2 linked regions of the Lonchura striata genome follow. The protein of the gene in region 1 purifies or fractionates together with the protein of each later gene. This does not show direct contact. Links are inferred from orthologs where the notes say so. Each region holds a gene or a part of one and is shown in the gene's direction. Other genes may lie near its edges.

What was found.
Region 2: the proteins of ECSIT (region 1) and TIMMDC1 purify together in Homo sapiens (affinity purification with mass spectrometry; 3 studies listed by BioGRID and IntAct, counting the BioPlex papers as one, with this or other methods). This does not show direct contact. The link is inferred for Lonchura striata from reciprocal best matches to the Homo sapiens genes ECSIT and TIMMDC1.

Annotation. Positions count from the first base shown.
Region 1 is NC_134623.1:1,327,922-1,344,362, forward strand, and holds ECSIT (evolutionarily conserved signaling intermediate in Toll pathway, mitochondrial), read left to right. Parts: upstream 1-7,962; coding exon 7,963-8,025; intron 8,026-8,575; coding exon 8,576-8,795; intron 8,796-9,116; coding exon 9,117-9,515; intron 9,516-10,690; coding exon 10,691-10,911; intron 10,912-11,793; coding exon 11,794-11,848; intron 11,849-12,689; coding exon 12,690-12,838; intron 12,839-13,707; coding exon 13,708-13,810; intron 13,811-13,882; coding exon 13,883-14,259; downstream 14,260-16,441. Other genes in the region: ELOF1 (transcription elongation factor 1 homolog), read left to right, coding at 337-452, 701-771, 860-924; CNN1 (calponin-1), read right to left, coding at 2,087-2,323, 3,160-3,306, 3,388-3,498, 4,083-4,220, 4,310-4,376, 4,759-4,793; ZNF653 (zinc finger protein 653), read left to right, coding at 15,508-15,800.
Region 2 is NC_134604.1:14,293,676-14,309,432, forward strand, and holds TIMMDC1 (complex I assembly factor TIMMDC1, mitochondrial), read left to right. Parts: upstream 1-8,027; 5' UTR 8,028-8,046; coding exon 8,047-8,138; intron 8,139-8,244; coding exon 8,245-8,410; intron 8,411-9,559; coding exon 9,560-9,648; intron 9,649-11,649; coding exon 11,650-11,717; intron 11,718-12,572; coding exon 12,573-12,651; intron 12,652-13,641; coding exon 13,642-13,752; intron 13,753-14,139; coding exon 14,140-14,239; 3' UTR 14,240-14,969; downstream 14,970-15,757. Other genes in the region: POGLUT1 (protein O-glucosyltransferase 1), read left to right, coding at 479-538, 1,528-1,627, 2,411-2,469, 4,265-4,432, 4,945-5,001, 5,619-5,775.

The DNA of each region.
Region 1 (16,441 bases):
GGGACAGAGTCTCTCGGTTCGCCGCTGGTGATTGGCTGGGGCGCTGTTCTTATCAACCAATGAGCGGGGCGTTTTCGGGTCACGTGGGGAAGAGCGCGCCGTTCCCGCCGCTGATTGGCTGAGGGCGGAGGGGCGGCACTTCCGGGATCGCGGCGGGAGCGCGGCGTGAGGACCGGGAGGGACCGGGGGGCACCGGGGGGCACCGGGGGAGGGTCCAGCCGTCCTCGGCACGTCCCGCAGCGGGTCGGGGCCACTCCGAGCCGGCTCCCGGGGCCGATCCCGGTGTGGTTCCCCTTCCCGAGGCCGTTCCCGGTTCTGGGCTCCGGTGCGGCCGCCATGGGCCGCCGCAAGTCGAAGCGAAAGCCGCCGCCCAAGAAGAAGATGACGGGGACGCTGGAGACGCAGTTCACGTGTCCCTTCTGCAACCACGAGAAGTCCTGCGACGTCAAGATGTGAGCGCGGGACACCGGGCACCGGGGGGACACCGGGGGGCACCGGGGACGGGACACGGGGATGGGCGGCAGCGCGGGAAGAACGACGGAGAAACCCGGGGGGGAAGCGGAGAGCGGAGACATGGACGAGGACACCGGGCGGGGGTGCCGGTACCGCGGAGGGGACACCGGGCGAGGGGACACCGGGAGTGTGGCGGGGGGGATCGGGACGGAGCCCGGAGGGGTCACGCCCGTCCCGTGCCTCGCAGGGACCGCGCCCGGAACACCGGGGTGATCTCGTGCACCGTGTGCCTGGAGGAGTTCCAGACCCCCATCACCTGTATCCTTACCGGGACCCCCCTCGGGACACCCCCGGGACCCCTCCGGGACCCCCCGAGTCGGTGTTGGAGCCTTAACGGCGCCGCCAGACCTGTCGGAGCCCGTGGACGTTTACAGTGACTGGATCGACGCCTGCGAAGCCGCCAACCAGTGACCCCGGGGGGGCGGCGGGGACACCGCCCGCTCCCCAAACTCCCGGCGGGGTCAGGGACCCCCCCCCGGGCCCGGTGACAGCCCCGGAGCCGGTGCGGGGGTGGCATCCCCCCCTCCCCCCGCGTCCGGCACTTGTCCTCGTCCCCGTGGGGACACCGGGGCGGGGGGCGACGCGTTTGGGGACAGCGGCCCCGGAATAAATGCCCCGAGTGGTGGCCCTGGTCCTCCCTGTCCCTTTGTCCCCCATTGTCCACCCCATCCCCGCCGCCCCGGTGTCCCCCCGGTGTCCCCCGGTGTCCCCCGGTGTCCCCCAGCACGGTCCCACGGCGCTGTCACCTCTGCGTGTGGCTTTTATTGTGCCTCGGTGGCTTCACACGTGGCGGGGCCCGAACCCCCCGGGGCCGAACCGGGGACCAAACCCGGGGGTGATCCCGGGACTGAACCCGGGGCCAGCCCAGCCCTGGCCCCGCCCGGGGCCGGTCCCGGGATTGTCCCACCGGGGCCGGTGCCGAGTGCTGCCCCCCCACCCCGGGAGCCATCGCGGGGCCGATCCCGGGGCCGGTTTCCCCTGGGATTAATCCCGGGGCCGGTTTCCCCTGGGGCAATCCCGGGGCTGGTTTCCCCCAGGGCCGATCCTGGGGCCGTTTTCCCCTGAGATCGATTCTGGGGTGGATTCCAGGGCCGGTTTCCCCCGGGGCCGGTCCCCCCGGTGCCAGCCCCGGGGTCGGTTCCCCTGCGATCGATCCCAGAGCTGATCCCGGGGACAGTTTCCCCCAGTGCCAACCCCGGGGCCGATCCCAGGGCCGGTTTCCCCCGGTGCCAGCCTCAGTGCTAGCCACGGGGCCGGTCCCCCCGGTGCCAGCCCCAGGGCCGATTTCGGTGCCGGTTTCCCCTGAGATCGATCCCAGAGCTGATCCCGGGGCCGGTTTCCCCCAGTGCCAGCCCCGGGGCCGGTTCCCCCGGGGCTGATCCTGGAGCCGATCCCGGGGTTGGTTTCCCCGGGGCCGATCCTGGAGCCGATCCCGGGGCCGGTGCCCCCGGGGCCGATCCTGGAGCCGATCCCGGGGCCGGTGCCCCCGGTGCCAGCCCCGGTGGCGGCTCGGCGGGGCGCGGTGAGGCCGGTGACGAGCGGTGTTGGGGTGCAAGCGGCCGCGGGCCGGCGGCTACTGGGAGTTGTAGAGGCCGTCGTGGCCGTCGAGGCCGTCGTGGCCCAGCAGCTCGGGGCCGCCGCAGTACTTGGGGTCGTAGACCTGGCGCGGCAGGCCGTACACCGTCATGCCCTGCTGCGAGGCGCCCTTGTTGCTGCCCATCTGCAGCCCGATGGTCAGCGTGTCGCAGTGCTCCATGCCCAGCGCCGGCTCGAAGATCTGCCGCTTCGTCCCCGGCGCCGTCATCCCCGCCTGGCCGGCGGGAACGGGCTCCGGTCAGGGACGGGATCGGGGCAGGGACGGGATCGGGGCAGGGACGGGATCGGGACGGGGACGGGCTCGGGGCAGGGATGGGATCAGGGCAGGAACTGGCTCCAGTCAGGAACGGGCTCGGGGCAGGAACCGGCTCCGGTCAGGGACCGGCTCGGGCGGTGGCCGCGGGCACCCCGAGGGGCTCACAGCCACCCCGGGGCTGTGGGGGGATGCTCGGGGGTTCCTCCGTTCTGCTCCCCGTGCTGCCCGCAGGGTGTCTGTCCCCTCCCTGTCCCCAGAGTCCCTCTGTGCCCCCCTCAGAGCCCCTTTGTCCCCTGCTCCGCTGTCCCCGGGGCTGCCTGGGCCACCGGCCGGGCCGGTGGCACCTCAGGGTCCCCGGCTCTGTCTGTCCCCGCTGCCCGCGGGCTCTCCGCTCCCTTTGTCCCCCTAACCCGGGACATCCAAGTCCCCTGGTGCCATCTCTCCCTGTGTCCCCATGCGGTGGCAGTGTCCCCCCATGGTGGCAATGTCCCTGTAGGGTGGCAGTGTCCCCATGGGGTGGCAGTGTCCCCCCATGGTGGCAATGTCCCTGTAGGATGGCACTGTCCCCGTGGAGTGGTAGTGTCCCCGTGTCCCCCGTGCTGGCAGTGTCCCCATGGAGTGGCAGTGTCCCCTGTGCTGGCAGTGTCCCCATGTCCCCATGTCCCCCCATGCTGGCAGTGTCCCTGTGGAGTGGCAGTGTCCCCATGTCCCCGTGTCCCCCATGCTGGCAGTGTCCCCATGGAGTGGCAGTGTCCCCGTGTCCCCCCATGCTGGCAGTGTCCCCGTGTCCCCACCTGGCTGGCGCCTTTGTTGGTGCCCATCTGGAGGCTGATGGTGGCCTGGTCCAGGGGCTGGTCCGTGCCCAGTTTGGGGTCGTACAGGTGCCGCCGTGTCCCGTACGCCGTCATGCCCTGCTGGCTGGCGAACTTGTTGGTGCCCATCTGGGGACAGCGACGGCCACGGTGTCACCAGCTGTCCCCAGCACGCCCCCCCCGTGTCCCCCCAGCGTCCCCGGGTGTCACCTGCAGCCCGATGATGTTCCTGCCCTCGCGCAGCTTCTCGGGGTGGAAGCGCCGCTGCTGCTTCTCGGCGTATTTCACCCCCAGCCCCACCTTGTTCCCCTTTGTCTTGGCCTGGCGGAGACCGTGGGCTTGGGGGGGGGCCTCACGGGGACCCCCGGACCCCAAATCCACTCCCCGGACCCCAAATCCCCTCCTTGGACTCCAAATTCCTTCCCCAGACCCCAAATTCCTTCCCTACACCCCAAATCCCCTCCCTGGACCCCAGATTCTTCCCCCAGACTCCAAATCCCCTCCTTGGACCCCAAATCCCCTCTCTGGACCCCAAACACCTTCCCCAGACCCCAAATCCCCTCCTTGGACCCCAAATCCCCTTTCTGGACCCCAAATCCCCTCCCCAGGCTGCAAATACCCTCCCTGGACCCCAGATTCTTCCCTCAGACTCCAAATCCCCTCCTTGGACCCCAAATCCCCTCTCTAGACCCCAAATCCCCTTCTCAGACCCCAAATACCCTCCCTGGACCCAAATCCCCTCCTTGGACCCCAAACCCCCTCCCCAGACCCCAAATCTCCTCTCCAGACCCCAAATCCCCGCTCTGGATCCCCCCCAGCGTGTGGCCGGTGTCCTCTGAGGGGACACGAGGACCCCCAGGAGCCCCCCGGACCCCCGGCCCCCCCCAGGACCCCCGGGAGCTGACCTGGCTGGCGAGGGCGATGAGCGTGGACTGGACCTGGGTGTGGTTGGTGTTCTCGAAGAGGTCGTTGGCCTCAAAGATGTCGTGGGGCTTCACCCCGTAGCGCGTGATGGCCCTCAGGAAGTTCCCGATGTTCTCCAGCTGCGGGCGGGGGGAGTCGGGGCGGGGTTCGGGGTCAGATCCTCCCCCCCAGAGCCGCCCCCAGCCCCGGTTTTGGGGGGTCCCCTCACCTTGTGCCAGTTCTGGACGGGTTCGTTCACCTTGGGCACCGAGCCCGGCTGCAGTTTGTTGATGAGCCTGGAGGGGCCGAGCACGGGTGGGGTCAGGGGGTGACCCCAGAGTGACCCCGGGGTGACCCCTGGGTGACCCCTGGGTGACCCCTGGGTGACCCCAGAGCCCGGCCAGGAGCGGGGTGTGGGGGACAGGCACGGCGGGGTTGGGGGGCTGTGCTCAGCAGGCTCGGGGTCAGCCCGGGTGAGGAATGGGTTAAAATTCACCCTCCGGACCGGGGCCGGTCCCAGCCCGCGGGGACAGAGCCGGGGACACAGCCGGGGTCCCAGCGGGGTCCCGGGGGTCGCACGGGGTCCCGGGGGTTCCAGCGGGGTCCCGGGGGTTGAACGGGGTCCCGGTGGGGGTCCCGGGGGTCGCACGGGGTCCCGGGGGTCGCACGGGGTCGTACTCGCAGAGGATGACGCCGTCCTTGAGCCCGTCCATGAAGTTGTCCCCGATCCGGCGCCCCGTGGTCCCCTCGATCCAGGCACGGAGCTCCCGCTCGTGCTGCGGGTCGTACTTCTGGGCCAGCTGCGGGGACAGGGACACGGGACATGGGGACATCGCCGGGGGGACACGGGACATGGGGACACGGGACACGGGACATGGGGACACCGCCGGGGGGACACGGGACATGGGGACACGGGGACACGGGACATGGGGACAGGGGACACGGGGACAGGGGACACGGGACACGGGGACACCGTCGGGGGGACAGGGGGACTCCGCCAGGGGGACGTGGTGGCACGGAGAATGTCGGGGACACCCTCACGGGGACGAGGGGACACGGGGGACATTGCGCCGAGGCCACGGAGGGTGCGGGGACACCGCGGGGGACACGGGGACACCGGCACGGGGACACAGACGGGGAACGTGGGGACACCCCAAGGAGGGACAATGGGGACACCCCAAGGAGGGGACACCCTAAGGAGGTGACAGTGGGGACACCCCAAGGATGTGACGTTGGAGACACCCCAAGGAGGGGACACTGGGGACACCCCAAGGCGGGGACACCCTCAGGGAAGAGGCGGCGGCCGCACTGGGGACGCGGGATCCCCGCTGGCCCCGGTTCCCCCGTTCCCGCGGGGCCGGAGGGAGCCGGGAGGGCCGGGGGAGCCCGGACCCCCCCCCGCCCCGCCCGGCCCCCCCGGGAGCCGCGGGCGACCGGGCCGGCCGAACCTTTGCCCATATATAGCCCCGGCCCGGGGCCGCCGCCGCCCGCCCGCCGCGCTCCGCCGCCTTATAAGGGCTCACGGCGGGGCCGGGGGCCGCCGGGCCCCCCCCGGGCCGCCGATCCCCCCCCGTTAACCCTTAACGGGCCGGTGCGCGGCGGGACCCCCCCCCCGCCGTGTCCATCCCCCCGCCGTGTCCGGTATCTCCCGCCCGCCGCGGGGCCCCCCCGGGCCACCCGAACCGCCCCCGTTAACCCTTAACGGGGCGGACACCGGCGGGACGCCACCCGGTGCTCGTGGGGGGCGTCCCGGGGTCCGCCCGCTCCGTTCCGGTGTCGCCCCGTGGCCTCCTCAGTCCCGGTGGGGGTTCCGGTGTCGCCGCCGCTTCAGCTCGGTGACCGTCACCTCCCGCCCGCCGCGGGCTCGGCGGTCGGCGGGGCTCCCCCGGTCCGCCGAGCCCACTCCGGGTTAACCCTTAACGGGCCGCACACCGGCGGGAGCCCCCGGTGCTCCCCGGTGCCGCCGTCCCCGTCCCCCGTCCCGGGGCGCACCCGGTGCCCGTCACCTCCCGCCCGCCGAGGGGACCGGGGGCTGCGGAGACCAACCCCCCCCCCCGCTCCCGGTTAACCCTGAACGGCCCGGTGCCCGGCAGGACCCCCCGGTGCTCACGGCGGGACCCCCCGGTGCTCACGGCGGGGAGCCCCGGTGTCGCCCCCTCCCCTCCCCTCCCTCACCCCCGCCGGGCACCCGGTGCCGGTCACCTCCCGCTTCCCGGAGGGAACGGGGAGTGCGGAGCTCCCCGGGCAGCCCAGCCGCACCCCCGGTGAAGCGGCGCTCGGTACGACCCCCGGGGGGGACACGCCGGTGCCGCCCCCCTGTCCCGGTGTCCGTCCCTTCCCTCCCGGGGCAGCACCAGGGACAGCGCCGGGTCCCGCCCGCGCTCCCGCCGGGTCCTGCCGCGACCCCTGCCCGGGCCCGGTGCTGCCGCCGCCCCGGGGGGGTCGCACCTGCCCGGAGCCGCCCGGACCCCCCCGGTTCGGCTCGGTTCGGTTCGGTTCGGTGCCGCTCACCTTGTTCTTCACCTCGGCCGAGAGCCCGTAGGCCGGGCCGCGGTTGAAGTGCGCGTTGGACATTTCGGGGGTCCCGGGGGGGTCTCGGTGGCTCCGGTGGGGTCGCGGCGGGCGGGTGGCGCCGGTTCGGGGCTGTCCCGGGTGGGTTCGGGGCTGTCCCGGGTGGGGTCGGTGCCCTCGGGTCGGCTCGGTGCCCTCGGTCGGTTCCTCCCGGTCCCGTCCCGGCGCCGCCGCCACTTTTAAAAGTGGGCGGTGGGCGCGGAGCCCCCCCGGGCCGGGGCGGCCGCAGCCAATCCGCGGCCTCCGCCGCGCTGACGTCACGGCGGGGCGGGTGATGGCGTCACTTTTTCCACATTTACCGGGGGGGATCCCGGAGCTGGGGGGGGGGGGCCGGGGGGGCGGGGGAATCCCGGAACGCCCCCCCCGCCCCAAATCAGCGCTTGCCCGCTCTGCCCCCTCCCACCGGACACCCGTGTCCCCCCCGGTCCCACCGGAGCGGGGACCCCCGGGGGGCACCGGGGCTCCCCCACGGTGCCTGGGGATCCCCCCCGGGGCACCGGGGGCCTCTTCCCCGCTCACCGGGACCCCCCCGGTGCCGCGGGACCCCCGGGACAGCGCGGCCCGACCCCGCCGCGCCCCCCCCCCGCTCGGTGCCGTCACCGGATCGGACTCCGCCGCCCCCCCGGGGGAGGACACGGCTCGTCACGGGTGGGGAATGTCCCCCTCCCCCTCCCGTCCCCCTCCCCTCCCCTCCCCCACCCGGGCCGTCCCGCCCCCCCCGCGGCTCCGGGACCCCCCCGGGGCTGGGGGAGCACCCGGGACCCCCCCACGGGGACTTGGGGACCCCCCCCCACCCCGCCGGGGCTGCCGTTCCCGTTCACCCGCTCTGACGTCATCGCTCACCCCCGTGACGTCACCGCCCGTCCCCGCGCTCATCCCGGGGTCCCGCTCTGACGTCACGGGGGAACCCCCTCCGAGCCCCGCCCCTCGCTGCCTGCCAATCACCGCGAAGCCGCGCGCCGATTGGCCGCGCCCGCAGGCCCCGCCCCCTGACCCGGCCGCGCGCGGTCACCGCGAAGATGGCGGCGCCCAGCGGCGCGACCGGGCACGGGGACGGCGGAGCCGGACCGGGAGCGGGCACGGCCCGGGCGTGAGCGGACACGGCCCGAGCGGGAGCGGACACAGCGGAACCCGAGCGGGAGCGGGCACGACCCCACCGTGAGCGGACACGGCCCGAGCGGAAGCGGACACGACCGAGCGGGAGCGGGCACGACCCCACCGTGAGCGGACACGGCCCGAGCGGGAGCGGACACGGCCGGACCGGGAGCGGACACGGTCCCACCGTGAGCGGACACGGCGGCAGCGGGCGCCATGCGGCCGGGATGGCTCCGGGCCCTGCCCCGCCGCCTCTGGGGCGGCCCCGCAGCGCCGCAGGTGCGGGGGACACCGGGAACACCGGGACAGAGGGGACGGGGGGGGCGGTGGGGACAGGGGGAAACGGGGGACATGGGGACAATGGGGGGACACGGGGGGACATGGGGACATGGGGGGACACGGGGGGACATGGGGACAATGGGGGACATGGGGGGACATGGGGACAATGGGGGGACATGGGGCCATGGGGGGACACGGGGGACACGGGAAGACACGGGGGGACATGGGGACATGGGGACATGGGGGGACACGGGGGGACATGGGGACAATGGGGGACATGGGGGGACATGGGGACAATGGGGGGACATGGGGCCATGGGGGGACACGGGGGACACGGGGAGAAATGGGGACATGGGGACAATGGGGGACATGGGGGGACATGGGGACAATGGGGGGACATGGGGACACGGGGGGACAATGGGGGGACACGGGGACAATGGGGGGACATGGGGCCATGGGGGGACATGGGGACACGGGGGGACAATGGGGACATGGGGACAATGGGGGGACATGGGGACAGCTGTGGGGTGACCCCTTTTTTCCTCCCCAGCTGTGCCGGAGCTTGTGCCAGCGCCCTGCACGTGTGCCCCCCGCGGAGGGTGGCACCTCTGGGGGTGACACCTCTGGGGGTGACACCTCGGGGGGTGACACCTCGGGGGGTGGCACCTCGGGGGGTGACACCCCGAGGACCTCAGAGTGGCATCGCCGCTTCCACAAGATCTGGGAGAACGACCCCCAGCCCCGGGGCCACCCCCAGAGCCCCGTGGGGGGTGACACCTCAGGGGGTGACACCTTGTGGGGTGACACCTCAGGGGGTGACACCTCAGGGAGAACCACCTCAAGGGGTGACACCTTCTGGGGTGACACTTCAAGGAGTGACACCTCAGGGGGTGCCACCTTAGGGGGTGCCACCTCAAGGGGTGACACCTCAAGGGGTGCCACCTCAACAGGTGACACCTGGGGTGACACTTCAGGGGGTGCCACCTCAGGGAGAGCCACCTCAAGGGGTGACACTTCATGGGGTGACACCTCGAGGGGTGACACCTCAGGGGGTGACACCTCAACAGGTGACACCTGGGGTGCCACTTCAGGGGGCGCCACCTCAGGGGGTGCCACCCCCAAGGCCCCTCTGCGCCACCTGCGCTCCTACAGATCGCGCCGCGAGGACGCCCACGGCGACGCCGCCGGTGACCGTGATGCCCACGGCGACCCCGGCGACCCCGGCGACCCCGGCGCGGCGTTCACGGCGGCGCTGGAGGAGCTGGCGCGGAGCCCGCCGGGGCGCGGTGGCCGGCTGGCGCTGGTGGAGGCGGCGCTGGCGGCGCTGCCGGCGCGCGGGGCCGGGCGCAGCCTGGCCGCCTACAAGGCGCTGCTGCGGCTGCTGCCGCGCGGGGCCTGGGTGCCGCGCGGAGCCGTGCAGCGCCTGCTCTTCCCCTTCCCGCGGCAGCAGGAGTGCGGCCTGCGCCTGCTCGAGTGCATGGAGCGCCACGGTGCGTGCTGGTGTGCCCCGGTGTGTCCCGGTGTGTCCCGGTGTCACTCGTGTGGTGTGCCCCAGTGTGCCCCGGTGTGTCCTGGTGTGTCCCGGTGTGTCCTGGTGTCACTCGTGTGGTGTGCCCCGGTGTGTCCTGGTGTGCCCCGGTGTGCCTCGGTGTGTCCTGCTGTGTCCCAGTGTGTCCTGGTGTGTCCTGGTCTGCCCCAGTGTGTCCTGGTGTCACTCGTGTGGTGTGCCCCGGTGTGTCCTGCTGTGTCCCAGTGTGTCCCAGTGTGTCCCAGTGTGTCCTGGTGTGTCCTGGTGTGTCCTGGTCTGCCCCGGTGTGTCCTGGTGTCACTCGTGTGGTGTGCCCCGGTGTGCCCCGGTGTGTCCTGGTGTGTCCCGGTGTGTCCTGGTGTGTCCTGTTGTGCCCTGGTGTGACTTGTGTGGTGTGTCCTGGTGTGTCCCGGTGTGTCCTGGTGTCACTCGTGGTGTGTCCCAGTGTGCCCCGGTGTGTCCCGGTGTGCCCTGGTGTGACTGGTGTGGTGTGCCTGGTGTGCCCCGGTGTGCCCCGGTGTGTCCCGGTGTGCCCCGGTGTGTCCTGGTGTGTCCCGGTGTGCCCTGGTGTGACTGGTGTGGTGTGCCTGGTGTGCCCCGGTGTGCCCCGGTGTGTCCCGGTGTGCCCCGGTGTGTCCCGGTGTGCCCTGGTGTGACTGGTGTGGTGTGCCTGGTGTGCCCCAGTGTGCCCCGGTGTCACTTGTGTGGTGTGCCCCGGTGTCCCCTGGTGTCCCTCACATGGTGTCCCCACTGTCCCCAGGCGTGATACCCGACGCCGAGACGCGCTTCCTGCTGCTGTCACCCCAATGTCCCCAGAGTGTCCCCAATGCCCCCCATGCCCCAATGCCCTGCTGTCCTCAGTGTCCCCAATGTTTCCGCACTGTCTCCATGTCCCCAGTGTCCCCAATGTCCCCACTGTCCCCGTGTCCCCAACGTCCCTGCTGTCCCCTGTCCCCAGGCGTGATGCCCAACGCTGAGACGCACATCCTGCTGCTGTCACCCCAATGTCCCTCCTGTCCCCAATGTCCCCAGTGTGTCCCCAATTTCTCTGCTGTCCCCAATATCCAATGCCCCCCATGCCCCAATGTGTCCCCGCTGTCCCCGTGTCCCCAATGTCCCCGTGTCCCCTGTCCCCAGGCGTGATGCCCGACGCCGAGACGCGCTTCCTGCTGCTGGGGGTGTTCGGGCCGCGCAGCCGCCCGCTGCGGAAGCTGCAGCGGATGCAGTTCTGGCTGCCGCGCCTGCGGCACCTGGACCCCCACCCGCTGCCGCCCCGGCTGCGCCCCGGGCTGGCGGCCGCGCGCCTCGGGCTGCAGCGCATCGCCACCGAGCCCGGCGCCACCGTCACCCTCGTCCAGGTGGGCTGGGGACACGGCTGGGGACACGGGGACACGGCTGGGGACACTGGGACAGGGCTGGGGACACTGGGGGGACAGGGCTGGGGATACTGGGGACACGGCTGGGGATACTGGGGACAGGGCTGGGGACACTGGGGACAGGGCTGGGGACACGGCTGGGGACACTGGGGACATTGGGTACACTGGGGACACGGGGACAGGGCTGGGGGATGGAGACAGGGCTGGGGACATGGGGGGACACGGCTGGGGACACTGGGGACAGGGTTGGGGGACACTGGGGACAGGGCTGGGGACAGGGCTGGGGACATTGGGGACATGGGGACAGGGCTGGGGACACTGGGGACACTGTGACAGGGCTGGGGACACTGGGGACACTGGGACAGGGCTGGGGACATTGGGGACATTGGGACAGGGCTGGGGACATTGGGGACATGGGGACAGGGCTGGGGACACTGGGGACACTGGGACAGGGCTGGGGACACGGGGACAAGGCTGGGGACATGGGGGGACACAGCTGGGGATACTGGGGACAGGGTTGGGGGACACTGGGGACAGGGCTGGGGACAGGGCTGGAGACACGGGGGACAAGGGGACAGGGCTGGGGACATGGGGACATGGCTGGGGGGACAGGGGAGGACAGGGACAGGGCTGGGGACACGGGGGGATGGGGCTGGGGGGACAGGGAGGACAGGGACACAGCTGGGGGGACAGGGCTGGGGACATGGGGGGACACGGCTTGGGGGGCAGGGGGTACAGGGACACGGCTGAGGGGACAGGGACAGGACTGGGGTGACAGGGACAGGACTGGGGACACAGGGGACATGGGGACAGGGTGGGGGGACAGGGGTGGCCCTGCAGTGACCCCCTGTCCCCGTCCCGCAGCGGCCGGTGCCGGAGTCGGGGGACGATGAAGGCTCCGTCCAGCCCTACATCCTCAGTGAGCTCCGGGGGTCTCGAGGGGCCTGGGGGGATGTTGGGGTGCCCTGGACGGGGGGTTGGTGTTGGGTTTGAGGGGGTTGGGGTTCCTGGGGTGGGTTTGGGGTGCCTGGGGTGGGTGTGGGGCTCCTCAGGGGTCTCTGTGAAGGATTTGGGATTCCTGGGGTGGGTGTGGGGTTCCTGGGGTGGGTGTGGGGCAGAGTCTGGGGTCCCTGGGGTGGGTCTGAGGTCCCTGGGGTGGGTTTGAGGCAGGGTTTGGGGTCCCTGGGGGTTTCTATGAGGGGTTTGGGGGAGGGTTTAGGGTGCCTAGGTTGGGTCTGAGGTCCCTGGGGTGGGTTTGGGGTTGTGTGGGGCAGGGTTTGGGGTGCCAGACTGTGGGGTGGGCTGTCCCCCGTGTCCCCCGTGTCCCCAGCCGTCCCCCCGTGTCCCCAGCCGTGTCCCCGTGTCCCCAGCCGTATCCCCGTGTCCCCAGCCGTGTCCCCAGCCATGTCCCCGTGTCCCCAGCCGTGCCCCCGTGTCCCCTGTGTCCCCAGCCGTGCCCCCGTGTCCCCAGCCGTGTCCCCAGCCGTGTCCCCAGCCGTGTCCCCAGCCGTGCCCCCGTGTCCCCAGCCGTGTCCCCAGCCGTCCCCCGTGTCCCCAGCCGTGCCCCCGTGTCCCCCGTGTCCCCAGCCATGTCCCTGTGTCCCCAGCCATGTCCCCGTGTCCCCAGCCGTGTCCCCGTGTCCCCCGTGTCCCCAGCCGTGTCCCCAGCCGTCCCCCCGTGTCCCCAGCCGTATCCCCGTGTCCCCAGCCGTGTCCCCAGCCATGTCCCCGTGTCCCCAGCCGTGTCCCCGTGTCCCCAGGCTCGCAGAGCCCCGAGCAGCGGGAGCTGCTGGCCCGGCACGGCCCCACCCGCCCGGTGTTCGTGGAGGGGCCGTTCCCGCTCTGGCTCCGCGGGACCCTCCTCAAATACTTTGTGCTGCGGGGAGACCCCCTGCCCCCCCACCTCAGGGTCAGCCGGGGGGCCCGGGGGGTCCTGGGGGGCTCTGGGGGTTCCTGAGGGGGTTCTGGAGGGTCCTGGGGGGTTCTGGGGGATCCTGAGGGGCTCGTCGGGGGTCCTGGGGGGCTCCTCGGGGGTACTTCGGGGGTTTTGGGGGACCCTGAGGGAGTCCTGAGGGGGCTCTGGGGGGGCCCTGGAGGGTCCTGAGGAGGTCCTGAAGGGTTTGTGGGGTCCTGAGGGGGTTTTGGGGGGTCGTGAGGGGGCTCTGGGGGGTCCTGAGGGGGTTTTGGGGGGTCCTGTGGGGTTCTGGGGGGGCTCTGGAGGGTCCTGAGGGGGTCCGGGGGGTTTTGGGGGGTCCTGGGGGGCCTCTGGAGGGTCCTGGGGGGTTTTGGGGGGTCGTGAGGGGGTTTTGGGGGGTCCTGGGGGGCCTCTGGAGTGGCTCTGGAGGGTCCTGAGGGGGTTCTGGGGGGTCCTGGGAGGTTCTGGGGGGTTCTGGAGGGACCTGAGGGGGTAGTGGGGGGTTTTGGGGGGTCCTGGGGGGCCTCTGGAGTGGCTCTGGAGGGTCCTGAGGGGGTTCTGGGGGGTCCTGGAAGGTTCTGGGGGGTTCTGCGGGGTTCTGGGGGGGCTCTGGAGGGTCATGAGGGGGTAGTGGGGGGTTTTGGGGGGTCCTGGGGGTTTTTGGGGGGTTCCCGGGGGCTCTGGGGGTTCCCGAGGGGCTCTGGGGGTTACTGGGAGTTCCTGGGGGGCTCCTGGGGAACTCCAGGACAGGTAGGACGGGCCCCCCAAAACCCAACACACCCGGGGCCCCTCCATGACCTGCGTGGGAAGACGACCCCAAACCCCCCAAAAAACCCCCCAAAACCCCCTCCCCAAACCCCCAGGACCCCCCGCCGGACCCCGAGCGCAGTTTTTACTTCCCGCTGCGCCTGGAGCTGGAGCTGGAGCGCGGCCCCTGGGACGACGAGGATTTCCAGGTGGACAGAGGTGAGCCCCGGGGGGATTTTGGGGGGTCGCGGGAGGATTTTTCGGGGCTCCCCCTGACCCCGCTGTCCGCAGTGGAGGAGGGCCCGGTGCTGGCGCTGTGCGTGGCGGGCGCGGGGGACCGGCGCACGCTGGGCCGGTGGCTGGCGGCGCTGCAGCGGCACAATCCTGCCCTGGGCCGGGTCCCGGTGCTCTTCCGCCTCACCGGGAGCGGGGCCGAGCCCCCCGAGGGACCCCCGCCCCCCGGCTGGGCGCGGGGACCCCCGGGGCCGCGGCGCTGGAGCCCCCCGAGGATGGGGGTGAGCCCCCGAGGAGCGCCGGGGAATAAAGGATGGACGGACGGAGTGCGGGTGCCGTTGTTTTTTGGGGGTGTCCTGGTTTTTTTGGGGGGTTTGCAGGTTTTTTGGGTGGTTTTTGGGGTGGTTTCGTGTTTTTTTGGGGGGGTGTTGTAGTTTTTTTGGAGGGTGTTGTGGCTTTTTGGGGGGGTTTCGTGGTTTTTTTCGGGGGGTGTAGTGGATTTTGGGGTTTTCATTTTTTTTTGGGATGTCGTGGGTTTTTTTGGGGGTGTCGTGGTTTTTTGGGGGGTGGCGTGGTTTTTAGGGGGGTATTGTGGCTTTTTTTGGGGGCGTTGTGGTTTTAGGGGTGGTGGCGTGGTTTTTTTTGGGGTATCATGGGTTTTTTTGGGGGTTGTCATGGTTTTTTGGGGGCTTTCATGTTTTTTTGGGGGGATGTGGTTTTTTTAGGGGTTTTGTGGTTTTTTTGGAGGTATCATGGTTTTTGGGCTGGGTTTCGTGGTTTTTTTGGGGGGGTGTCCTGTTTTTTTTGGGGGTCCCCAAAACGTGGTGGTGGCCGGGAGGATTTTGGGGGGTCATGGGGAAGGTTGGGGGTGCTGGGAGGGCGTTGCCCCCCTCAGCAGCGAGGCCCAGTTGGTTCTGGGGGAGTCTGGGGGGCTTTTGGGGGGTCCCCGGTGAGTTTGGGCGGCTTTTGGGGGTTCTGAGGGTCCCTTGGGGGGTCCTCAGTGGGTTCTGGGGGTTCCCTGGGGGGGGTCTTTGGTGAGTTTGGGGGTCCCTGGTGGGTTCTGGGCATCCCTGGAGGGGTCCCAGCTGAGTTTGGGGGGCATTTGGGGGGTTCCCTGGTAGGTTTTGGGGGTCCCTCATGCACGGCACCTCCACACCCCACACCTGGGGGGGTACCGGGCAGGGCTGGGAAATTCCGGGAATCCCTTTTTTTGGGCGGGTCTCCTCTTTTTTGGGCGGGTCTCCCCTTTTTTTGGAGGGGATCTCCACTTTTTTGGGTAGGATCTCCCATTTTTTTGGGTAGGATCTCCCCTTTTTTGGGGGGATTGCCCCTTTTTGGGGGGATCTCCCCTTTTTTGGGTAGGATCTCCCCTTTTTTTGGGGGGGATTGTCCCTTTTTGGGGGGGATCTCCCCTTTTCTGGGGGGGTCTCCCCTTTTTCTCCTCGGGACCCCTCCAAAAAATGCCCCAAAAAAACCAAAACAAAAAAACCCAAACAAAACAAAACAACAAAAAACAAGAAAAACAACCCACCAAAAAAAGCCAAACTCAAAAAAAAAGACCCCAAAAAAGAACCCAAAAACCCCAGGGCGGGCGGGAGTACGGGCAGGCCGCGCCGCGCATGCGCACTGAGCGCCGCGACGCCGCGGCGCGCTCCGCTGACGTCATCGCGGCGCGCCGCGGCATGAGCGCGGCCGAGCGCGGCGCCGGCGGGCCCGGGGCTCCCGGTGGGCCCGGGGCTCCCGCGGCTCCCGAGCCCGGCGGGGGCCGCAGGACGCGGGGCCGGCCGCGCCTCACCGACACCGACCGCGCCCGGCGGCGCCTGGAGTCGCGCAAGAAGTACGACGTGCGGCGGGTGTACCTGGGAGAGGCGCACGGGCCCTGGGTGGAGCTGCGGCGCCGCAGCGGATGGAGCGACGCCAAGCTGGCGGCGTACCTGCTGGGGCTGGAGCGGGGACAGCGCGCCGGGCGGCGCGGGTGAGCGCCGGGGGACCGGGGAGAACCGCGGGGAACCGGGGAGGACCGCGGGAACCGGGAGGGAACCGGGGAGAATCGCGGGGGGGACCGGGAGGGAACCAGGGAGGAACGGGGAGAACTGGGGAGAACCACGGGGGACCGAGAAAGAACCCGGGAGGACCGCGGGGAACCGGCGAGGACCGCGGGGAACCGGCGAGGAAGCGGGGAGAAGCGTGGGAACCGGGAGGGAACCGGGGAGAATCGCGGGGGGTACCGGGAGGGAACCAGGGAGGAACGGGGAGAACTGGGGAGAACCACGGGGGACCGAGAAAGAACCCGGGAGGACCGCGGGGAACCAGGGAGAAGCGGGGGGGAAGCGGGGAGAACCGGGATAAACCGGCGGGGGACCGGCGGGGAACCGGGGAGAAGCGTGGGAACCGGGAGGGAACCGGGGAGGAACGGGGAGAACTGGGGAGAACCACGGGGGACCGAGAAAGAACCCGGGAGGACCGCGGGGAACCGGCGAGGAAGCGGGGAGAAGCGTGGGAACCGGGAGGGAACCGGGGAGAATCGTGGGGGAGACCGGAGGAACCGGGGAGGAACGGGGAGAAACGGGGAGAACTGGGGAGAACCACGGGGAACCGGGGGCGGACCGGGGAAGA
Region 2 (15,757 bases), on another chromosome or scaffold:
AAAGTGAATAATAAAAACAATGAACTCTTGTGCTTTAAGTGCAAAACACTACGTGTGTTTTTTGTTTCTTGATTGGTAGTTTTTGTTTTGTAGTGGGAAATGACTGATTAGAAACTCTGTAGTCATTTTTTCACTATCCATATTCAGTGAACTATAGCAAAATAAAGCCACAGCACAAGAAGTGGATTAGGTAAACTTTTAATACTCTTCAAGGTTTGGTAGGGAGCTGTGTGTAATACATTGTTTTGCCTGAAAGGTGTTCTGGAAAGTAGTCTGTATTAGGTTGCCTGAAACACAATATTTACAGGAAAACCTGTTTCATTGGACCTGGCTGAGAGTTTTTGTGTGCTATAATGAAGAAAGTTATTTCCATCAAAAATGAAGAATAGAAGAAGACATCATGCTGTGAAAGCTGATGAGAGTGTTGTTTCATGGTTATATTAAATAATTTATTACCATGTATAAAAAATATTTTCAGATCTGCAGAAAAATGGCCATGGAAGAAAAAAATCTCTAAGGGATATTTCCGAGGATCCAGGTGAGCATTTTTTTCCTGCAACAGAAGATTCTACCAACAGGGGCTGTGACAGCTCTCTATATGTAGAAATTTCCATGTCTCCTAGACCTAAACTCTAATTAAGTGCACCTCACAGTGTATTTTCCAAAAGTAAGGAAAGTGAGACATGTTATACAGTATTGCACTATTAGTTATTCTCCAGAAGAACTGCCATTTGCAACTAGTTTATTTTAATCACCTAATACTGGAAACAGAAGTTGTGATAGATTTGCCACATTATTTCTTAATGACTAAAACTGTCACCTCAGGAGCCCACTTGTTTTGTTCTGTGAAGGGAACTGCAGGTGCTTGATACAAATTTAAAGATTTAGTATTGCTATTCATGCATCCTGCCAATATGAATGCTTTATTTGCTCTGCCAGTGCTCCACACTGAATGAAAAGTATTCTGGCCCTAAGTTACCCAAGTAGTGGGAGATAAGAGAATATTTTTTTTGACCTTTCTCCAGTGGTAGTTTGAAACAATGCTAAGCTCCACACTTTGTTTCTTCCCCTTCCCCAATAGGGAAGGATTTGGTGGCTTTCCAGGTAGGCTCAGCAGGTGATGGGGAATGTCTCACAAGGATGTAATAACCTTGTTTATCAGCAGTGTTTTAAAGTCCTGTTAGAGGGATCACTGCTGAAGATACTGAGCATCTCTTAACTCTCTCTGACTTAGGTGGGAGTCAGAGTATTTGGCACCCTTCAGGATAAAGGAAGCAGGATTTGTCTTGGGAATTGTTTAAATAATACTGTTAAATATGTAGTCAGTCAAATACTTCTGGTACCCATAACTCATTTTCTTCTGTTAATATACCCTTGGGCAGAAATACACTGTGGTACACACTTCATAGTGTTTTGGGGGCACACAGGGAGGTCAGCCTCAGAAAGAAGCAGTGCCTCAAGTCCTGTAGTCTGTTAGCTGTGTTGAGTCATGGGGATTAGCAAGTAGTGATAACGTTTCTTTTTCAGAACAAGCCCTGAGAGAGATCCCCTCATCCTGCTGTCCCGAGAAAACCCAGAACTTGTTGATGCTGAGTACACTAAAAACCAGGCTTGGAAATCTGAAAAGGTGTGTGGGTGTTAGTCTGTCTTCTGAGTGTGAAGGCCAGAAAAGGTGGCATTGCAAGATGGCTTTGATGGGAGACAAACATCTTGTTGGAGAGTTGTGGGTGATCCTTTAGAGTGGGGGAGGTTTGTAGTTCCTTGATGGCTGCACCTCTAACAGATGAAAGAAAAGAGTCTCTAGAGCCTGGCAGGCCAAACACTTCCTTCCATGCTTGTTGTTCAAGGAAAGGAAAACACATAAGAAAATGAATCTCTGCCAATCTCCTCCTCTCCCACAACAACAAAATTGGCCAACCCTTCCCCTTCTGTCTCTGAGCCGCCTCTCTGGTGTTGTCAGTCTTCAAGCCTTTTTCTGTTTTCTCCATTTCTTGATCTCATTGTGGATAACTTTGTGATAACTGTTGCTGATAACTTTTTCGTTTCTTACTTAGTCTACAGTCCAGCTCTCTCCAGACAGTCTTGGCTAATCCAGTTACACTTGGCTTCACACAGTTCATTGTCCCAAGCTGTTTTCCACTCTGTAGCTGCCAACAAAACATTATCATTTAATGTGTTTGTGCTGGCATTCACTTACAGGCAGTGTGTAATTTACTGAGCTTTTTTTCATGTTTGAAGGGCTGGGAATTCTTTATAATCCTTCTAACAGCCCACCAGAGAAGGTTTTCTCAGAAGTGGGAATGGAAGGTTTTGACACATCACCTTTGTTTCTAACTGAGAAGGAAAACAAGTTAAATCATTATTTGAAGCTTACTGTTTTGTTTTGGTTTTAATTTCTCTTTATTTTAAGGATACCTTAGGAAAGCCTCCTGCAAAGGAAATTCCACTGGTTGATCACTGCAAATACAAGTAAGAGTTTTGATTAGTAAAGCTTTTCAAGGGCTGTGGGTTAGTCTTTCCTTGCATGGTATAGGGTCTCATTTTATTTTAAGGTCTAATTCAACAACCAGCTTCATGTAGATATGAAAGCTTGTGAGCAGATATAAGACAGTTGAAAATTTGTGAGTTTAGCATGACAAGTGCTGCCACTGGGTGTATATAGTAAAAGAGAGAACCTGAAATCTGATTGAGCACACCTAGTATTAATTCATACTTTTTATGTTGTTTAGGAGAATGTGGTTTTGATTTACAAAGGTTTTTATTCTTTAACTACTTAATGAGGGTTTTTTGGTGTAACACTTACAGGTTTCCATTTACAATATAAACTCTTAGTGTGTGTGCACTTGTGTATAAGATGTTTTGCTTTTTCTTCTGCTAGTTGTCATTCAGCCAGCCAGGATCTGCTGATATAAGAGCTCAGTCATTTGGCTGAATCTGTGTTTTTGTGCAAATGTGATTGACTTGTCTTATTTTGTATTTCACTAGACTGTAGCACAGATTTCTCCCTTCTGTTACACGTACACCGCCCAACTCTGTCGCTCCCCAGCCCATCATATGGTGTAGGCTGAGACCTTCTCACACACTTTTGTTGTAGCTCAGGGAGGTAGGGTCAACACCAACTTTTGTCTGCTGCTTTCAGTGTAGGTGTTACAGCAGGCTGGCTTGGCTGAGGTCATGGATGGTGGGAGCTGTGTCTGGAATTGGGCAAAGGTAATTGCTTGCTTCCAGGCCATCATTCTTGTTGCATCTCTACATGTATTTGTTGAGTTCCTAATACAGTGTGCTCCTTGTCCTTGTTTTGAAATCCTAGGTAGTACAAAGGATGCAAAGTAATTTCAGATTTACTCCTTGTTATTTACTGCTGTGCTAAGTTTAGCTGTAATTCCCATCTTGCCCTAAATATATCTAATATATAAGCTCCACCCAAAATAGCTTCATTAAAGGAAGAACTCTCTTCCCCCGGCTCAAAATGTTTAACTTCAAAGATCAGTATATGTTCTGGGGAGGTTTACCCGTAGGAAAAACAGCTTTCTATATAATAGAAGAAATGTGGGTTTGATCAAGAAAACAAGTAAGCAAAGAAACATCCCTATGAGATACAGTTTGCTAAGAGAAATACCCCCTTGCCACAGTCAAGCCCACTTTTCTAACTTGGCAGAAAATACTGAAAACAAACTTTTGGATTCTTCGTTATCTGCAAAGTCCATCTGTTGTATGCTGGCCCATTTAACCTCCTATGGTTGCATTCCCAAGTTACTATGAAACAATTACATTCAGATTAAAGCAGAATCCCAGAGGAAAAAATAACCTGAGATAGATGTGGCAAAGCACAATGATGAACAGAAAAACTTCACTGAAAGGCAAGAGAGAATTGGAAAGAATTTCCTTGTGGTTGATAAAGCCTCTGAGTGACCCCATAGGGTCACGGAATCCATATTGTGATCTTCCATGCTTTGCTGGCAATTGTCCACAAGGCCTCATTGGTTTGTCACAGACAGTGCCTTTATCAGAGGTAAAGCCTCACACCTTGAATTTCTCAGTGAGTTTTGACAGCAGAAACTCACCCAGCACACCCTTAACTTCAGCTCACCTTTCCTGTGAGCAGCTTCAAATAAATGCCTTTCCTCTGTTTTAGTGACTGGTGTGCTGCTCAGCTGCTGCCTGTCAGGGAAGGTTCACCGCTCCTTGGAGACCAGCACACCTTAGTGCATTTCCTCACACAGGATGTGTGATCAGGTCCCTCTCTTTGCTCTTCCTTTCAAAGGTACCTGTTTAATTTCCGGGGAGTGGCGGCCAGTTTCCGCTTGAAGCACCTTTTCCTGTGCGGCTCACTCGTCTTCCATGTCGGAGAGGAGTGGTTGGAGTTCTTCTACCCCCAGCTGAAGCCTTGGCTCCACTACATCCCGGTGCGGTCAGACCTCTCTGACGTCAGGTGTGGGGCCTGAGGCCACTGCATGGAGCATTGCATACCATGGGGAAGCCTTTGGGAAGGTGGGATGGTTTGTGTTAGGCCATGAAGTGCCTCCACTCTGAGGCATCAGGCAAAGATTTTTGGAGGTCATGGTCTTTTCATCACTACCCCCAGAGAATCCTTTGCTGATTTGGGGAGTGCAGTTACACTGGAGTAAGATTCTCACTCTCACTGAAATCAGCAGGCACTAGACACTTAAATTTGCAAGTGGGCAACAGTGATAAGGGGGGAGAAGAACTTAACCAGTGGGCCAAAAATGTGTTAGCTCCCAGATTTCAGGAAGTTGTCCAGAAGTGATGTGAAACAATCAAGCAGAGAAGTTGCTTCTGTGCTGAGGTGAGCAGCTCTTTCACTCACTTGTAGACTCTTAACCTCACCCTCCCCAACAATTTAGCTAAGGGATTATGTTCTCCACTGAGCCAGTTGTTTCATAGCTTTTTTTTTTTTTTTCTGTGTATGTGTCTTCATTTTAGGGAGCTCTTGCAGTTTGTAAAGGAAAACGATGCCATAGCACAAGAAATTTCAGAGAGGTAAGCAGTATGTGCTTCCTGGCTATTAGGCAGTCTTCTTCTAAAACATTGTCTTACACTGCTTTTGAAGGGGTTGCCCATCAAAGACAACCAGTATTAGTAGGGTGCAGTATAACTGATCTTCTGCAATAAGAGTAGGAGGGCTGGAGCAGTGATAGCAAGCAGAGGGAAGCAGAGAGCAGGATGCTGTGCTTAGCTCTTCAGTTCACATGTGACCCATGTCAGGAACCCCATGGAAAGCTGGCAGAGGTTGGGAGCTTTCATCTCAGTATGACACAAGCTGGCTCCTGGGAGCTGTGTCTGCGCTGTAAACATTATCTATCCAGGCTGCTCTGAAGCAGCATGCATCAGGGCTGCTCTAGTTGCATGTGATAAGTGGAATCTGATATTTATTATCCCAGATAGCAAATACCGTCCTGAGGATAGCAAAAGCACTGCAGCCGTCAGAGCTGTGAGCATGAATGAAAATTGTAAAATTAAAACAGACAGTACAGAGCAGTGTGTGTTGTTTCTCATTTGAAACAAGGAAATGCGAAAGTTGATATACATCCAAACCAAAACTAATGACTCTTGTAGGAACTGGAAAACAGTCCTGACTGTGACTTGTGTGTCTCTAGGGGACGTCAGTTCATCACTGAGCACTTGGAGATGGAGGACATCTCTTGCTACTGGGAGCATCTGCTGTCTGAATATTCCCAGATCTTGACTTACAAAGTGAAAAGGAGGAAAAGCTACAGCGAGATCACTTCTGGACAGCTGAAAACAGAACTGTAGAGACTTCTCTGTTTTTCTCTCTGGCTCAAACTGGTCACTGTGGAAATCTGAAGATCAGTATTATTTCTTGCTCTCTCAGACTTACCTTTCACAGTAGAACTGCACTGGGACCTGGTTATATTGTCACCTCAAGAATGTTAAGCAGCATATTGGATTAAGACTAATGGGGTGGTCAGTCATGCCTAGAGGAGGGATGTTAGCATTTAGGACTTAGTTACTACCTGTCTCAAAATGATCCTAAATCCCATTCAGTCGATGAGAAGCCTTAGTGGACTTATTACCAAAGGTCATGGCAAAGGACACAGGCTGAGCTGCACTCAGCTAGTAAATACTTGCCCCTTTGTTTGGCAAATGTTTTCTCAGCTGGGTGATAGCACTTGGGGTATTAGGTGTTCTCTGACAAACGCAGGTACTGGGATTTGGGGCTATATAACTTTCTGGGTAGCTTAGGGTTTATGTTGGGTTTTAGAGGTCGATGGTAAGGTTTTGACATGCCCTTGGAGGATAACTGATCCTTGCAGAGTTACCCTACCTACCTCACAGGGGATCAGCATACGGTGGTGATGGGGCCATCACCAGTGATGTGCTTGGCAACTGAGACAGAGATTCTTCCTCCAGCAGATGAGCTGGGTGCCTGCACAGCCCTGCACAACTGAGCCCCTGTTAATTATCTCTCACCAGCTGCCTGGCCAGACATCCTGGGATGTCATCCTTAGGAACCCAGAGAAAGTATTCACTGAGGTAGATTCAGCACTTCCTTTTTCCAGAAGTGCAGAGTCTGCTCTGATCCCCTTCTGTAATCTTTCCAGGATTATTTTAAGTGTTTGTTTTTTTTTTTTTGGTTTGGTTTTTTTTTTTTGTTTTTGTTTTTTTTTTGGGGGGGGGGTGGCCTTTTTTTTTTTGAGACTGGTAATACATCTGCTCACTTTACTACTTGCTTTTCTTCCCCACATCTGTGCCACTTCTTTTTTCATCTCCTTCAGCCTGGTTGAGGGAATGTCTTCAGTCACACAGTAGCAGCTACTGCTCACATTACCCATTTTGAGTTGCTCACAGGCTGATTGTGCTCGCTGTGTTTATGCCCACCACAGCCTCTTGGCTAAGGACTGCAATTCCTGAAATGCTCTGTGCCCCCTAAGATAAGAGGCTGGAGGCAGCAGCATCTTCTCTGGCACCCAGACAGGAAGAGTGTGGGGTGCCAGGAGGGACACAGGAGCCTCCCAGGGGAGCCTCCTTGTTGGTAAAGCAGCCTCAAGGCTGAGAGAGCAGCACATTATAATGGAAGAGGATGATAGCAACAGCTCTCAGGCCCTCTGCAGTCAGTGTGTATCAGGGAAGAAGGAAATTGCATGGAACAATAACATTTAATGTGTGCCCTCGCAGAGGCCTTGCAGCCCTGGCACAGGGACATAGCAGCTGCACTATTGATCAAGTGCTGGTTGCTGGGGCAGTGTGTTGGTTTTGGGACCAGTGCTGGGGTTATTTCATCCAGCAAAGGAAACAGAATGGGGCATTAACCTGGTTTCCCAGGAAAGTTGTGCCAGAGTGGAAGGGGTTTTCTGGTTTTCTATTTTTAGCCAACAGAGAGACAGCACTCCAAGAAACCGAACATCTCTGTATGATATTTTAAAACCATTTGTAATGAAGGGCTTTTTGGAATAAAACAAAAAATGAAGTTTTGTTGGATGCATTTTCTTCATCAGAAGAGTGATAGGAGGTCTGCAGAGCCCCAGCTTTTCCACCCATAGATCTTGCGATGACACTTGATTGTTGCAGCTTAGGTGGCCCTTGGCCAAAGTGATGATTCTTCAGGAGTGGGGGAAGAATCCCGGGAATTCAAGAATCATGGGTTAAAATATGCACAAGCCCGGTGGGAAGGCCCAGGCACCTCTCCTGGTGGGGAGCTTTCACTTCTTTGGTGAAAGGAAGAATTCACAACAGAGGTGTTTCAGGAAAGGCAGTGAGCCCCATGAGTGGCGCCATCTCTCCACGCAGGCTTTGCCCGGGGGTTGCTCCCCCTCTGTCCTATGCAAACCGGGCACCACAGCCCCCAGAACTCAGCTCCTCTCTCGCTGTGGGGAACAAACCCGGCCCTGCACAAAGGGGCAAACACTCGGAGTTGTTCATCAGTGACTAACGCAGAGCCGAGCCGTTCCGAGCGGTCCCGAGCTGTTCCGAGCCGTTCCGAGCGGTTCCGAGCGGTCCCGAGCCGTCCTCGCAGTGCCCCGCCGGGGCGCAGGGGGCGCTGCCGCCGCCGCCGCGGGCTCGGCCATGGCGGATCTGCCCGGAGCCCGGGCGGGCTTCGGCCCCGCGCCGCTGCCGCAGACGGGCTGGGAGCGGCTCCGCGAGCTCTGGCGGCGAGAGTGAGCGCCGGGCCGGGCTCGGGCGGGACGGGGCGGGACGGGCGGGGCTGGGTGGTGGCGGTCCCGCCGTGCCCACCCCGCGCCCATCGCCGCCCTTGCCTTGCAGCGAGCGGCAGCAGTTGCCGGAGGAGACGGTGAACATCGCCAAGGCGGCGTTCACGGCGGGCGTGGTGGGCTGGCTGTACGGGGGGCTGCCCGCCTTCGTCAGCGCCCGCAAGGCCTTCATCGAGAGCAGCCACGGCGAGATGTTCCAGAACCGCGCCGATGCCGTGGTACGGGCCCGGGGCTGCGGCCGGGGCGCACGGCGGTGCCGGGCTCGGGCGGGGCCGGGGCCGGGCTCGGGCCGGGGGGACGCGTGTGCGGGTCTGGCACAGAAAGTTTGCTGGGAGTGTGTGAGTCCGTGCAGGTCATCCGCTGCGGGAATTAGCAGGAATTAGGGTTCCCCGTTAGCCAAATTGCAAATTAGCTTCAGAAAAGCGTCGTTCATCACAGGGAAGGTTGGTAACAAAGTTTACCATTCTCTTAAGTGGCTGATTAATACGTCTCGAAATGGCTTTCTGCTTTTGCGTTTTAGTCTGCTGACAGGAGACTTCACAGTATCAAACTGGGATTGTACTCTTGTCTTATTAATGTGAGTCATTTTTAGACCATTTAAAATTCTTTTAGAAGAACAGCACAACAAAGAACACTTGTGACATTTTGTAGATGTATTTGAACTTCTAGGTGTTTGTTATTCAATTAAAGTGTTGGTTACGTGGAATATGAGGAAGAAAACCTTTTTAAAAATCTGCCTGATGTTAATTTTGTATTACTTACAAAATTTGGCCTCTGATGTGGTGACCTGCAAATTGCCACTGCCTGGCTCCGCTCTGGTGACTGGTATATCTGACCCAGGCTAAGAACCTACACCACAAACACTGGAAGAGAAAATTTATTTACTTTCATGGTATTCAGTGCAACATTTTTAAATTTTATGAAGCCTCTGTTTACCACTTATTTTAAAAAAAACTCTTCTTTCCAAACTTTTAAGTGCCAGTGTTAAACTGCAGAGCTTGATGATACCTTAATATTTAACGCAGATGGTTATTATTTACTTACTACTATTGTAGAAACTACTTTCTATATGAAGTAGTTTCTAGTTTTTCTCTTTCTCCTCTGCTGCTGTCCTGTCCTTGAAGAGCCCTCCCAGTCCACCCAGACGTGTTTCAGCAGCAGGATTAGAAAGACCAGTTGACATTCCAAACTGGAACTGATTCTTGGTTTTCCCGTTGGTGGCTGGGAGCAGCTTTTCCTCCAAAGGTGGCTGACTTGATCGGAGCTGGGGTACCAGCGGCAGGAGACATTGGTCCCCTGGGCTGGCCTGCAGGGTGCTGGCAGGAGGAGGGGCTGTTAGCTGTGACATGTCCTCTCTGTCCCCTCAGCAATCTGCACACCGCGCTGGTCTCCGCAGCTTCATCCGCTACGGCTGGCGCTGGAGCTGGAGGGTCGCGGCTTTCGCCACCATGTTCAAGTGAGTGTTCCCTGATGTGGGGCAGCAGAGCTGCCCTGTGCTGGTGCTTGTCCTTGTCCTTGTCCTTGTCCCTGCCAGCAGTGCCCACAGCTCTGGCCTTTGATTGAGGCTCCTGCTGTTACCTTGACCTGAGTCTGGTTGATCAGGCAGGAGCATGAAGAGAGTTTAACCTTTTAGAATTGCCTCAGAATTCTCATCTTCTAATGAATCAACACAAATCTGAAATGTGGAAAAGCCCTTTTTGTACATCTGTTACTGAGTTGCATGCTTTTCTTTCTTGACAGCTGCTTTCTGCTTTTCCTTCATCTCTTTATGTGCTTTTAATCTGAGGGAGTGTTAAAGTGTGTTGGCAGTTTTTGGAAGTGCTTTCTAACCCACACTGATTTTTGTCCTTCCTACAATGTCTCATTGCTCCTGGTTTGTATACGCTGGTGGTACTCACAATTGTCACTACTACTACTTTGTATACACTGGTGTTACAATTCTTTGTTCTTGTCCTCAGGCATTTGCAGGGGATTGTCTTGTTCTTGAGCAGTTGCTGAATATCAGATCTACTGCTTCTATGTACCTGTTAGGCCTTCAGGATTTTTCTACACACACAAAGCCAATGCAGAGAGTGTTCTGCTTCCCTGATTTTCTTCCTTGGATGTTGCAGTGCATTTCTGGCAGTAGAACATCAAACTAAGTGTCGTCTTCTGAGCAAAGCCCTTTTAAACTAGAAATATCTCCTTCCCTGTTGTTCAGACTACTAAATTTGTAAATTTAAACCTGCATTGACTCTCTCTGCAGATATGTTCTGTTTAAGTTCTCCTTCTGCTTTTAAGATCCCACAATATTGACTGGCATGATTTTATATTTCTATCTCCCTAATTTTTTTTTGTTCCTTTCTGAATTTCTTCCTCACTGTCTCTTGATGTCTGTGGCTCCTTTTAGTTTAGTATCTGTTTTTAGGCTTAGTTAGTGTGCTGTTTGCTTTCTCTCCTGGAGCTCTTGATTTCTTTGGGTTTTCTGGATTTCTTTGGGTTTGACATGTTACCTTGTTGTCTTCCACCAGGTGTCTCCTCTGCAGTCAGATCAGCCCCTTTGGAAAGGTTCTGAACAAAGCTATTTGCTGCTCAGCATCATTTCTGTAAAGCCCAAGTTGCAAATTCCATCCTGCAGTTGTGAAAACTTTAAGTTTCACAATTAAAACCCAAAATGTTTGGGTTTATCTGTGTTGGGAAGGAGAGGAGGATTGCTGCTGGCTTGTCAATGTCACACAGGAGGCTGGGGAGTATGTGGCTGCTGAACTGAGAGCAGACTGTTTTGAGGCTTAGCTGATGTTTAGGAGGAGTTGGTTTACCTACCCCAGAGGGAAATCTGATGCCACAAGAGTAGGTGACCCTGCTGATGTCATGAGTGTGACATAGGCTGTTGTATTGGGGACTGTTTACAGGGCAGGATCTTACTGACACATGGAGCAGCTTCTGGGGTAAATGTCCTACATCAGGACTGGCTGACTGATGGGACCTTTTCATTGCTCAAATTCTTTTCTCCTTGACTGTATTACATGGTCCTAGGCAGTAGAACAGGTAGTTCAGAGAAGCTGTGGATGCCCCATCCCTGGAGGTATTCAAGGCCAGGCTGAATGGAGCTCTGGGCAACCTGCTCCAGGTGGAAGGTGCCCCTGCCTGCAGTGAGGGCTTGGAACTGGATGATCTTTAACATCATGTCCAAACTAAACCATTCTGATTCTTTGATTCTATATGATAGGAAAGAAAAATCTTTGATTAAAAAAAAGAAAGAGTATCTCAGATCCAGTTCAGGAACTCTGATATTCCCTGACCTGTGTCTGTGCAGCTGCCCACAGTAAAGTCAGAGAAGTCATGGCTGGAGTGGGGTGCCCTGAACAGATGGGCAACCTGAGGGCTGGCTTAACGAAATCCAGCTTTATTTCAGGCTGTGTTTTGCTACCTCTCTTTTTCCATGTGCACTGCTGACTTCTGTGCCTTGCCTTTGCAGCGTGGTGAGCACGGGCCTGTCTGCGTACCGCGATAAAACCACCATCAGTAATTTTGCTGCAGCAGGAGGTAAGAGTGCTGTAACCTTGTGTGCTCCTGTTTGTTAGCAAGGGTTGTAGCAGAAAAGCATAAGCAAGTATCCACATCCCTTGGGATTGAGCAGCTTCTGTGCTCTTGGGTTTTGCTGCTTGTTCCACTGACTTTGCTCTGTTGTTTGCCTGCTGCGTGCCTTTATTTGTAACACAGATACCGATGCACTGCTGAAACCATTGGGGAGTTTTGTGGTTCTTAGTTCATCTTCAAGATACTTGCTGGAGTATTTTGGGTGAAAAATGCTTCTGTGGGGTAAAGGCAACACTTGGTGCATAACCTGTTCACATAAGCACCTATTTAACAGGGAAAGCCTTTTTTATTTCCACTCTTGGTAACAATCCAGCACACTGTTTATAGGCTGCCCTTTCTATGCTAAGTTTTGCATGCCCACTTTTGGCAACAGGGTAAGTGATCTGCTTGTTAAGTTTTACAGGCTTTATTGCCTGTACAGCTGGATACACTTTTTACTGATCCTTTCTGCCTTACATGGCAGCTGCTATTATTAGCTGTTGTTGAACAGAAAAAAGGGTGAGGGAGATCATGCTCCAGCCTACAGAGAGCTTGGTTTCACTTTCATAGATACATCTATGATATGGGAAAAAGTTTGGCAGTTTTTCTGAAGCAGAAGGAGCTTTGTGCAGTTTCAGTGCAGAGACCATGGTGACTGTGTGGTGAAGGTCTGTCCCACTGGCCATGGCACTTGGTTTCTGCTCTGTTAAAAGCAGCTGTCAGCTCGTGGAGAAGAGAAATGCAACAAAGCAACTTCCTATGTTGGTTTGAATGTCTGTGGCAAGGCTGTTTCTAGTTTCAGTGGGTTTGTTCTTCTTTTAGGCTTCACAGGAGCCCTGTTCAGGATGCACTTGGGCCTGCAGGGCCTGGTGGGTGGCATCGTGTTTGGAACAGCATTTGGGTGAGTTGTGACTGCTGCACACACTGAGCCTGGAGTCACAGAGGGGCTACAGGAGCTTCCCTTCTTCTCTTGCCTTGAGGGATTTTCTGTATCCCTCATGGTGATCACTTTTCTCCCAACCTTTTAATTGTTCTTCTTTTCTTCTATGTTTCTTGTTTTGTGTTTTGCTGCTCTCTCAGTAGTGAGAGCTCAGTCCTTTCAGCAGACCATCTTATTTGCTGCTGTTTGCTTATTAGAGGGAACAACATAAGCTCCACCAAAGCTCAAATGGGAAGTAGCAGCCATTAGGAAACAGGGAGTAGGGATGGAGTAGATGCATGGCTGGGCTGTAAGGTGACACGTGTCTCTGTGTGTGTCTTCATGTGTGTCTTGCAGTCATGAATCTCCTGAAGTTCCTGGGGCATGGAGGATCCCAAGGTTCTGTTTCAGAGGCTCTGTGCTTCTAGACCTCTAACTCAGAAGAAATCTGACTTTTCAAGCAGGACTGGGATTTCTTCTCAAAGTTCTGACCTGTAAATATCCTCACAAGTAAATCTGAGGATCCTACCTGAAAAAGAGAATGAGTTATTTGTGCTGCTTGGCACCATCAGGATGGTGTCAGCTGTGAGCATGCCAGAAAGCAGCCTAGGGAGCTTTACCAGTGAGAACACAAGTACTTCCAGAACTGGATGGAAGCTGAGCAGGGGTGTCACTGTCTGAGATATGGTTTAGGTGTTCTACAGGGTCTGCACTGGGAACCATAAATCCTTCCACTCCTTTGTCCTGTGTGTGCCTGTCAATGAGTAAATTCAAAATATGCTATCAGCAGGGCTCTGGTGGGTCACAGCTGAAGAAAGGCTGTTCTTGGTGGGTGACAGGAGAACAGGAGTACCTTAGTTTGTGGTGTGATGTGAGTTTTAGGCCCCTGCTTGCTCTTTCTGCTGATGCCAGTAAGTTATTGCTGTTGTGTGTCCCCTGGGTGACTGGTGATTTCTCTGCTTCCTCCTTCAGGGTTCCTGCAGGAGGCCTCCTCATGGCCATGTATGGCTTGGCTGGTGAGACCTTGCAGGAGAAGAGGAGTCGTGAGCGCAGGGAGCTGCATGAGCAGAAGCTGGCAGAGTGGTGAGGAGCAGCTCTGTCCCTTCAGTCGTGGACTGCGAGGGTATCTGGGCCTGTGGGTTCAAACATTTAGAGAAACCATGACACACTAGGTTTTCTAAACCTCAGTTCTTCTCTTGGTTGTTGGTGTTGTTCACATACCAGTCTTAGAAATGCTGATTTAGTCTTCCCGGTCTTTTCCTTTATTGCTGCCTTCTTTCCATCCCTATTAAAGTGAGGAAAGGAGGATAGCTGAAGGCTTGTGGGAAAAAAGGTCATGACACTGGTCATGTGAATTACTGAAACTCACTAGTTCTAGAAGAAATTTTCAAGAGCTTGGATTCTGCACTCATGTCTCTGTCAGGAGAATGCAGGCATTAAATTGCTTTTCACTCTCTCTTCTCTCCTTAGGCAATCCAGGCTCAGTATGACTGAAATCTTAGGCCAAACAGAAAGCAATGCCCAGGGAAGACCAGAGATGGAGAGAGCAAGAGAATTGAAGAGCTACTGAGTCTTCCCCAGATTTCAGTTGTAAGAAGTTACGTAGAATTTTGATCCAGCTTGTAAAAGCCTTCAGTTGAGGGATCATGGGAGTTGTCTGTGGATGCAGTGAAAACGTGTTTGGCTGAAAACATTGTTCAGGGGTGGGTATCACTGCACAAAGAGCTTGGAAGGGCCAAACCTGTTCCACCTGAGAAGATGGAAATGCAAACTTTACAGACCAGGAAGTGTCATGTAGCTTTGGGAAGATGTGAGGGTTCCAGAGCCTCATCTAGAACCCATTTCACTGCTGAAAATGTCCAAACCACCAGTGATGTAGAAATATTCGAGGTAAAGGAGCCTACCAATGGTTTGTGTGCTAAAGGTGCCCTGAATCCAAAAGTTCATTATGCCCTGGTGAAAGCTGCTCTTCAGACAGTGCCTGAAGAACTTGCTGATGGTGGTTTCTTACTTGGCTCCTACAGTACTTGGGGTATTTTGCAGTCAGTGTGGAAGAAGGGTGGAGGAGTTGGGAATTACATGGAAATACCCTGAAAAAGGCATGTTTTGGGTTCTTCAATAGAGGCCTGAGGGTGCCACAGGAAACATGGCTTATTTCTGGTGGTGACAGTGGAAGCCTTGGTGCTGTGGACAGTTTTAACAAGAAGAAGGCCTCTAATTCCATTTGCAAGTTGGATATCAGGGGATGACCTCTGGGGGAAATGTAGTTCAAGACACTCAATAAAGACATTTAGCAGTGGTGACTGTGTCCATAAGCTCTTTGTGCCAGTACAGCTGGTACTTTATGCTTGTACAGTGCTGGTACTAGAAAAGCATCCCTGAGTGGTATTCCTTGAGAAGAGCTCTAAGATGCCACCAGACAGTCCTGTACCCAGGCATTAACAAAGGCAAGAGCCACGAGAGTGCCAGTTCTATTATTTTGTTCCAGAGATGAACTGTTCAGTCAGAGGTGTTACCTGTGGGTGGTGCTGGAGTTACTGTAAAATGGTCTGTACTCAGAAGGGTGAGGTGGCCCATCACTGTTCCCCCAAAGGAGGTCAGAATTCCTGTTCCCTTTCTTTGTTCTCCTACTAAAAGGGATTACATCCCGGCAGGATTTTCGGGTGTTCTTCTCATAAGAAAAGAATTGTTCTGGTTGAATGCTTTTCCAGATAATTAGTGTTGATTGAAATATGAACAGTCGATCCCACGGAGTGTATTCCACCCACCCAAAGCAGATTTTTGGCACAGTTTGCTTTCAAGAAGGTGTTGTGTTTTCTGACTCCTGAAGTGAGCATTTAATTTTCTAAACACTCCAGTGTAGCTCATTTTTTTCCACTGAAGAAACATGTATTTCAGGGTTGTCATCAACCAGCTCTGATTTTCCTTTTCTTTGTATATGTGAAGGATCTGCATAAGCAGAGGTATGGATATATCTTTCTCTGTTCCTGTTTTAAGCTGTATGTGCTGGTGACAGTAATGGTCCTTTGCCCACCCCACCCCCCCAAAAAAAAAAAAAAAAAAGAAAAGAGTCCCTTTTCTAAGTCAC